2 linked regions of the Saccharomyces cerevisiae S288C genome follow. The gene in region 1 interacts genetically with each later gene. Each region holds a gene or a part of one and is shown on either strand. Other genes may lie near its edges. The genes, in order: FOL1 and HOS3.

Evidence for each region.
Region 2: of FOL1 (region 1) and HOS3, extra expression of one is lethal in a mutant of the other (dosage lethality), as found in Saccharomyces cerevisiae (one study listed by BioGRID).

The regions. Positions count from the first base shown.
Region 1 is NC_001146.8:162,620-167,830, reverse strand, and holds FOL1 (trifunctional dihydropteroate synthetase/dihydrohydroxymethylpterin pyrophosphokinase/dihydroneopterin aldolase FOL1), read right to left. Parts: upstream 3,209-5,211; coding exon 734-3,208; downstream 1-733. Other genes in the region: mRNA-binding translational activator GIS2, read left to right, coding at 41-502; SIP3 (Sip3p), read left to right, coding at 3,511-5,211.
Region 2 is NC_001148.4:327,739-332,419, reverse strand, and holds HOS3 (histone deacetylase), read right to left. Parts: upstream 2,815-4,681; coding exon 721-2,814; downstream 1-720. Other genes in the region: GTPase-activating protein BEM3, read left to right, coding at 1-320; isopentenyl-diphosphate delta-isomerase IDI1, read left to right, coding at 3,690-4,556. UniProt on the Saccharomyces cerevisiae protein: Responsible for the deacetylation of lysine residues on the N-terminal part of the core histones (H2A, H2B, H3 and H4).

The sequences.
Region 1 (5,211 bases):
CCCTTCAGAAATCAGGAAAAAAGAAAAGAATACGAAAAAGATGTCTCAAAAAGCTTGTTACGTTTGCGGTAAGATTGGCCATTTGGCAGAAGACTGTGATTCTGAAAGACTATGTTACAACTGTAACAAACCCGGTCACGTTCAAACGGATTGTACCATGCCAAGAACAGTTGAATTCAAGCAATGTTACAATTGTGGTGAAACCGGTCACGTTAGAAGTGAATGTACTGTGCAACGTTGTTTCAACTGTAACCAAACCGGCCACATCTCCAGAGAATGCCCTGAACCAAAGAAGACCAGCAGATTCTCCAAAGTTTCATGTTATAAATGTGGTGGTCCAAACCATATGGCTAAGGACTGTATGAAAGAGGACGGAATTAGTGGATTGAAATGTTACACTTGTGGTCAAGCTGGCCACATGTCCAGGGACTGTCAAAATGACAGGCTTTGTTACAACTGTAACGAAACTGGCCATATTTCCAAGGATTGTCCAAAGGCTTAGGTGAAACATCCACTGAAAAAAACAAAGGAACAATCACTTATCATGCTATATTTCATAGAGGGGAAAAAAGAAGCACAAGTAAACTGAATATTTAAGTTTATTTTCTATATCTTTTCTATACTTCATTTCACTTGTTTCCTCCCTTGGTTATTTTTAACGATTCTTTATTATGAAACAGGAAAAAAAATTATTACAAAACAGAATTACATATTTAATCTATATAACTAACCTTTATTCCAAACCTTTATAAATAGCATCTGCTAATTTAATGCTCTTCGAACAATTTTTAACGTCATGGACCCTAACCATGTCGCTGCCGAAACCAATACACGACGCTACCACCGCTCCAGTAGCAAAGTCTCTTTGCTTCGCATCCACATCTTTTGTGATATGTCCAATGAATTTTTTGCGCGATGGACCCAATAAAACGGGCATATTTCTGAGGTTAACATACACTTGCGAATTGTTTGAGTTCATGGTGAATGAGTAGTTCTTTAAAATGGGGATATGTCTAATAATTTGTAAGTTTTGCTTCCAGGTCTTAGCAAAACCAAGTCCAGGGTCGATTAGAATTTGCCAGCGCTTTACTCCATTATCAATCGCTTTGATATACCTTTCGCCAATTTCTTGACCAACATTCCTGATTAACACTGTTTTGTCTTTCAAGTCGTCTAGCTGCTGAATGTCGGTATTATGAACAAATTCTTGCTGAATAGAATCACCCAATGCAAAATTTTCGTAATGCGCCAGCCTATTCATCGTTGAAATATCACCACGTGTGTGTGATAAAATATAACAAATTTCTGGGTTCTCTGCAATTACGGCAAACATGTTGCTGTCAAATAAACCTCCCGAAATATCATTAATAATATCCACTCCAACTTTAATCGCTTCTTTAGCGACATTGGAACGATAAGTATCAATGGATAGTATGACTTTATCTTGCGGTAACTCAGTGCTTTCTCTAATGGCCTTAATTAATGGGATAGACCTGCGTATTTCTTCTTCCTCAGACGCCTGAATAGAGTTAGGCCTGGTAGAACACCCTCCAACGTCGATGATGACGCTCTCATGCAAATATAATGCGTCTTTACACAATTTAATGATATCATTCAATTGACTTTCAATGTCCGCAAAATGCTCACCTCCATCGGAAAATGAATCTGGTGTAGCGTTGAAGATAGCCATGATATATGTAGGTGAAACAGTAATTCTGTTTGTTTCTCCAGTAAATTCGTCAAGTTTTGTAGCGGTCTTGAATTTCAAAAATCTAGGCTCCACACCACTACGATAAGGCAATGGAACTAATTTCCATAAGGTATCTTCATCATGCTGTTTGTCGTATAACTGTTTTAAATGGTCTACAATGGGTTCCGCTGTCACAGGATGAAGGTGAACGGGGGATATTAATTCACATAACGGCTCAAGAACGAAAGTCCTCTCCAGCATTCTAGGATGCGGTATATTCAAATCCGGTTCATTTACTATAATATCTTCTCCGGCGCTATTCAAAAACATAACAATATCCAGATCTATTGTTCTCGGACCATTATCAAAATGCTTGACTCTTTGCAACTCTTCATATTCAATTTTTTTACACAATTTTAATAATTCGCTTGGGGTCAGTAATGTCTCCACCTCAACACACCCATTCATGAAAGGGGTTTGATCTTTGAAATACATTGGTTCACTTTCAAAAATAGACGAAATATTCCGTAATTTAACCGTTTTTTCCCTTGATAATAATTGCAACGCCATTTGAATGTGTTTGAAACGGTCCCCAATGTTTGAACCAAACGCTAAAAACGCTCTTTTCCATGTATTTTTACCCTCAATAGGAGTGTTTTGTGATGAAGACAATTGGAACTTAATATCAGACGATTCATGTATGGAGGAAAGATATGGAATATTTACCATCGCAATCTCCCTGGGCTCTCTAATACAGCTTACACCAACACCTTCTGTGGCTGTGATTGCGTTTAATTTCAAAACCTTCACCACCAAAGGCGAATCTGGAAACTTTTGAAAATACTCGTTATGGGCAATAACAGCTGACACAGATTCTACAAGAGCTTCCACAGTCTTGAAATTTGATTCCTCCACAAACTTGACAACGTTATCAATTATGCTTTGCACTGGCGGTGGCAATTCGGCTTTCTTTGGCCAAGGCAACTTTATATCCAAAGTTACATACTGTTTCTTAAGTCTCTCAAAGGTGAAAACACCAATCAAAGTCAACATTTTTAACTCAGATATCCTAACAACGTCAAATTCCTGTGATTCTGGATTCCCTCTTTCTTGTTGAATAATACAAGATATGTGGTCACTTCTAATATGCGTTGTATCCGCCTGCACTTCTAAATTCAGACACTCGACACCAGAATATTTGTCCATAACAAATTGAGACACAGATTTAGCCAAATTAGAAACAGAACCCCAATTCTTTTTTTTGCTGACGAAATTCGTCAAATCACGAGAAATAACTGCATAATTTAGAGAATATTTCAAATCATCCGTAGCCGCAGATTTACTAAAATCTGTACCCATATCTAAGCTTAGTAGACATTTCTGAGGCATTAATTGATTCCAGGAATCAGGCCCAAGAACTGTATTCATCTCTAGTTTCTTAATGTGCACATAATCTCTCATGCCGCCTAGTGGTACACTATGTCTTGCAGAATTGACAGTAGAAAATAGCTTTGACATAGCCAAAGGCAAAGATTGAAACTTGTTAATCAAAGAAGACGCTATCACTTTTACTAATTTTGCATTTACTAAAGGAAAAAACCTTGTTCTTCTGTTTTCGATGACCTTGCAATTTATCATAAGTTTTTCAAATTTTCCTTTTATTATGAATTTGCGCAACGACACCAGCGCTATTGCTAATGCGTTCAAAACAGGGAAAGTACACGTGAAATTTTAAACTACTAGGTGTAACTAAAACATAGCTGCATGAGTAGACCTGTTGATCAATTGACATATTGCAGAGATATATCATTACTTGAAATATGTCCGTTCACGGGAGGGATCCCAAAAAGAGGCAGTTAAGGCTAATATCGGTTGCATTCAAAGAAGCATCAATTGACTCTCCTTCCTTTCGTGCATCCGTAAATTTCTTCCAAACAAGGGTGGATGCATTAGAGGATTGGATAGAGAAGACTGTCGACTTTTTCGATCAGAAATATAAGGTGTCATTTGAAGATTTTCGAAGAGCAAAGGAAACTCTCCTATCCCAATTGTTACCTCCTCCAGCCTTGCTGAGCAACGGTTTTGTCAGTAACCAATCGTTTACTCCCAGGCTGATTGATAGTTTTAACAAGGACTATTATGACTTTTCTATGAAATTACTGCAAATTGTAAAGGGTGATGACTCTAGCCACTCAACCGCGCTATTAGAACTTATGACTACTGCAATTGAACCCTACAGAAACGTGAGAAAAAATTTCGATTTTTACCAAGGTAAATATGACAGTATGCTGGCATCCTACCAGGCTATAAGAATTTCAAAAACCAGTTTAGAGCCATCTTCTATCAAAAGTGATGCCTTACAATTATTTGAAGTGCAAAAAAACTACCTTAAGGCCTCCCTAGACCTCATAAGTGCCATATCAGCAGTAAAATTAAGCTTAGATAAATTCATACTAGAGTCAATGAAAGTATTAAAGTCAAGAAGCATTTTTATAACGAAAGATTCTGGAAGGAAAATAGATTTATCTCCTTGCATTAATGAGTATTTAGACAATTACGCAATATGGGTAGAAAATTCCATCGAAGGATCGAAAGTATTGGATTCTGATATCAGTAATGCAAAAAAGCAAGCATATAGGTATACCTTGAAACGAATTACGCCGTCAAGTGACACAAGTGATTACAATATAAGATCAATACATTCCTCGAAGCTGCTATCAAAGGATACGCAAGTGCCTCCAAAATCGCCCGAAAAGTCTGGGTGGCTTTATATGAAAACACAGGTTGGAAAGCCTACCAGGGAAATATGGGTGAGAAGATGGTGCTTTCTGAAAAATGCAGTTTTTGGTATGTTCCTTTTGTCGCCATCGAAGACCTACGTGGAGGAAACTGATAAGTTTGGTGTCTTCCTTACTAATGTGCGCTATGACCCAGAGGAAGATCGAAAATTTTGTTTTGAAGTAAAAATATTTGGTAATAAAGTAACAGAGGCACATGATAACATGTCAAAGGATATCACGTTGGTCTTTCAAACTTCAAATTATCTAGATTTGAAATCATGGTTAATAGCTTTTGAAGCGACAAAAAAGTATGTCATGAGTATACAACATGATAGTCTTGAATATGAGCTGGCGTTTAAAAGATTTTCTCCCAAGTTTTTTGAATTTGCCTCTAGTACAACCACCTCCATAGATCAATTAATCACAACATTTGACAAAGAAACCGAGTCCTTGTATGAAACGCTGAACTGCTCAATCTCTGAATATGATATTTTGACTTTAGGAGAGGAGAAGGTGTTTCAGTTCCAAATGCCAACAACACCAATATCTACAAAAATGACACAACTGGCTATTCTGTCTAATTTCCTCACAAAAGGTAGCTGGTTCCCTAATGCTGTTCTTGCGAATATATGGGGCACGACCGATTGGAGTGAATATACTATATTGCCAGGAAAGGGAAAGAAACCCTCCTCTTTATTAACGATCGATGGCAAAAGGCTTCCAATAAGAAACTCCACTATA
Region 2 (4,681 bases), on another chromosome or scaffold:
AAAGAGTAGTTGATGAAAATCATAATAATCCTGTTCAAATATCATTGGGGTTTAAGGAACTTATTGAATCTGGCCTAGTTCCTCACGCTAACCTATCGTTGATGTATGCTCTTTTTGAACTGCTGGTAAGGATCAATGAGAATAGTAAGTTTAATAAGATGAATCTAAGAAATTTATGCATCGTGTTTTCCCCAACTCTAAATATTCCAATTAGTATGCTTCAACCATTCATCACTGACTTTGCGTGTATATTTCAGGGTGGTGAACCAGTTAAAGAAGAGGAAAGGGAGAAAGTAGATATACATATTCCTCAGGTTTGATGGTCTAAAATTGTAGAAATATAACGTTGCCAGTAAACCTCCATTGATTTAATGATAGAAAGAGGGCGAGATGTATAGAGGCTTCTTTCTTTCAACGATATATTTGTAATAATAAAAAAATGTCAGGCTGATAAAGCTTATAGAGTGACTGTCTTTTTATTCCTCAAATGTTATTTACAATACCATATAATAAAATTAGTATATTGTCAAATAAAATAAGAGAAAAAAACTAACTTCTTGACCAAATGGTCGAAGAGCTGAGATAAAGAAGGAAAAAAATTAAAATTACTAACTATACAAGGAAATATAAAAATAGAAAAATTGTGTTACTAAATACAAAAAAGTAATATATGCGTCACTTCTTTAGTGGGTTCAAGACAACATTATATATGCATTGGTATCACCATCTTCCACCACTTCTTGTTGTATGTTTTCTTGAAACATGAGAAATCATTGATATATCACTATCGTCATAAGTTGGTGTATTTGCGTTTTGAGGCTGTCTTATGCGATGCGGTTTCGTATTGGAGGGAATTTTATACATTCCATTACCTTGTAGACGGCGTTGGTGCGAGTTTTTCCAATTTTTTTCTTTTAGCTCATGGTCTGAATCTTCATCACCTTTTTTTTCAATTTCTAAGGTCTCCAAATGTCTAGAAATATCATCAATGGTAATATCCTCCACCGTGCGATTGAAAGTTTTGTTCAATTCTTCATCGTAAACGTATTCTTCATCTTCATCCTCACTGGAAAATTCTTGTTGCAAAAACGGAATTTGGGTTTCAGCTGCTCTATTATTTGACGAGAGCTGCTTGACCTTGGTATCGCTTCTAATTTCCCTTTGTTCCTGTTTTTCCGTGCTTCTCGGCTTGTTTTCATGAAGTTCTTTTTCTGGGGAAGCGTTGCTTCTATGAGATCTGATTATTCTTTGAGCAATTGTCGACGTGGATGCTGGTTCGACAGTAGCCTTTAGTAGAGAATTAGAAGGTGCGCTGTTAACTGCGTCTTTAAAAATGATATCATCGAATTCCGGTATCATTGCTCGTCCCAGCCTGATAACTTCTTCTGCCCATATTCTTATGACATCTTTTGCTCTTTTTGTCTTATAGGGTTTCCAAGCCGGTTTGCAACCACGAACAATCTCTTTAACGACTTGTTCAGACCCCCATTCTTTAACCCAATCTTGGTTTTGTAAACCGATCAAATGTGCGAAAACACCAGAACATATAGCTTTATCAGAATATCCACCCTCCATTAGAGACAAAACTTTGCCATGACAGTGCATTTGTGCTAATTTCAATGCATCTTTGGTGAACGTTGTATAAAAACTTGTAGGAACGTTGACACTATGCCTTTGCATTGAAGTTTGCTCAAATTCTGATGCATCGAAACCTGCGCTTATGACAACCAAACCTTTGAATGGTCTCCCTTGTTGATTCATTTCTAGTTTTGCGCTCCTGAAAAATTCATCTGCTTTAGCAAATAAAGTTCTATATTTTGTCCTGTATAATACATTGAATTCTTCTTCGGTTGTCCATTTGGATAAGTGAATATTCCAGATGTTTAGGTCATGAGAGTTCATGATACAGGTAGATGCATTTTTAATGTTCTCCTTTGTGGCAAATCCCGACTCTGTTGGAAATGAATTTATATCATGCATAGAAAAATAACCGACTTTGGGAAATTCGGCAAATTTCTTACCAAAATCATCATAAGATGAATCTTCAGGTTCCTCCTCAGGTTTGAAACCCGCACGTTTCCAGCAAATGTCTTGGGTCCCATCACCGTGGTGTAGATCGAAATCAAGCACGACAACATGCGTGACGTTGTAAGTATCATACGCATATTCTATGGCTACATGTGCATTGTTTAACAGACAAAAGCCGGATGGTGTACCATAGTGGCAATGATGACCAGGAGGCCGTATAGCAACAAAAGCTCTGTTACTAATATGTTCTGCAGATGGTCCTTTGAAAATTGAGTCAACACCAGTTTCAATGGCCCCAATTGTTCCCTGTAGAGCTTTAATTGTCTTTGAGCTCAAGTATATATCACCTGAGTTCCAAGTATCTGGGACTTCGATTTCGCCTTTTAGCAATTTAGCATCTGCCATTTGGCAAAGTTCAATTAACTCAGCCGGCCAGCTACTGCCATGAACTTTAAGCACATGAGGTGCCATCAATGAACCTTTCCTTTGATGCGAGGATTTCAAGGTGAAAAGGGATGGATACATTGTAATCGCAGCTGATATACCCATCGAGCTTGCTAATAATCTTTCTGGTCGTTCGACTATAGTTTTCCTATACGATTTTGTTACCCATTCTCTCGGGAACACATGCTGTAAAGAATATGGGGATAGTACTACAACAGCTTTTGCAGATTCCGGTATTTGTGCGGCAGCTCGAGCTGCCGATATGACATTAGGGTTATTTTGAACAAATGCTTGAAATTGCTTATAAAATCTCTCCAATGGATCTGAATGCTTGGAAGACATATTATATCGTCGAATTTCTCTGTTTACTTCCAGAGCCCTTTTTTTCGTTATATTTTCAGTGACTTAAGAAGTATTGGAGAAACTGAACTGATCAACTCCACACGAAAAGAAAGTTTGTAATTTGGAAAAGGACTAGTTTTTCAAAAGAGAAGATCTGATAATAGATCAAGCGATAAAAAAATTAACAAGATCTTATTGTTCAATTCAGAAAAAAACGTAAACAAAAAATAGTTCTTCATGTTTAAAGGAAAGAGTAAAATAGTATTATCCCTTGATTAGTTGTTTACAATTCTTGAAACTTTCCCAAACTGTTGTTTACATTTCTCTAAAACAAAAATAAAAACATGAGCAGGGTAACACTCAAGGGTCCTAAAAAAATTAGGTTTTATTACAGAAATTGTATAGGACATTTTTAATATTACGAGGGTAAATAAATAACAGTCACAGAATAGTATAGGTTATTAAGGGCTTCATGCGGCTATTTTGCCTATATTAATTTCTTTTTTTTTTCTTTTTTCTTTTTTTCCGCTGCTATCGGTAAAAGTTTCCGTTCTTGCTGGAACGAAATGGACAAAACTTAATTGTGATTGAAATTTTTCCAGTCAACAGTTTCGCAATGACGATGCCCAGCCGATTCTTTTCCCTTTAATTGTTATTAAGAAACATGATTATTCATAACTCTTTTCTTGTCGATGGGGGTTGCCTTTCTTTTTCGGTCTTAACTCCATTTATATTTATTTATTCATTTTTATCTATTTAACAGGAAACAGTTTTCTAGTGACAAGAAGGCGTATATCCCACTTAATTCAATATTAGAGTATTCGTATTTGGAATACAGGAAGAGTAAAAATAAGCCAAAAATTCATTACACCTCAATGACTGCCGACAACAATAGTATGCCCCATGGTGCAGTATCTAGTTACGCCAAATTAGTGCAAAACCAAACACCTGAAGACATTTTGGAAGAGTTTCCTGAAATTATTCCATTACAACAAAGACCTAATACCCGATCTAGTGAGACGTCAAATGACGAAAGCGGAGAAACATGTTTTTCTGGTCATGATGAGGAGCAAATTAAGTTAATGAATGAAAATTGTATTGTTTTGGATTGGGACGATAATGCTATTGGTGCCGGTACCAAGAAAGTTTGTCATTTAATGGAAAATATTGAAAAGGGTTTACTACATCGTGCATTCTCCGTCTTTATTTTCAATGAACAAGGTGAATTACTTTTACAACAAAGAGCCACTGAAAAAATAACTTTCCCTGATCTTTGGACTAACACATGCTGCTCTCATCCACTATGTATTGATGACGAATTAGGTTTGAAGGGTAAGCTAGACGATAAGATTAAGGGCGCTATTACTGCGGCGGTGAGAAAACTAGATCATGAATTAGGTATTCCAGAAGATGAAACTAAGACAAGGGGTAAGTTTCACTTTTTAAACAGAATCCATTACATGGCACCAAGCAATGAACCATGGGGTGAACATGAAATTGATTACATCCTATTTTATAAGATCAACGCTAAAGAAAACTTGACTGTCAACCCAAACGTCAATGAAGTTAGAGACTTCAAATGGGTTTCACCAAATGATTTGAAAACTATGTTTGCTGACCCAAGTTACAAGTTTACGCCTTGGTTTAAGATTATTTGCGAGAATTACTTATTCAACTGGTGGGAGCAATTAGATGACCTTTCTGAAGTGGAAAATGACAGGCAAATTCATAGAATGCTATAACAACGCGTCAATAATATAGGCTACATAAAAATCATAATAACTTTGTTATCATAGCAAAATGTGATATAAAACGTTTCATTTCACCTGAAAAATAGTAAAAATAGGCGACAAAAATCCTTAGTAAT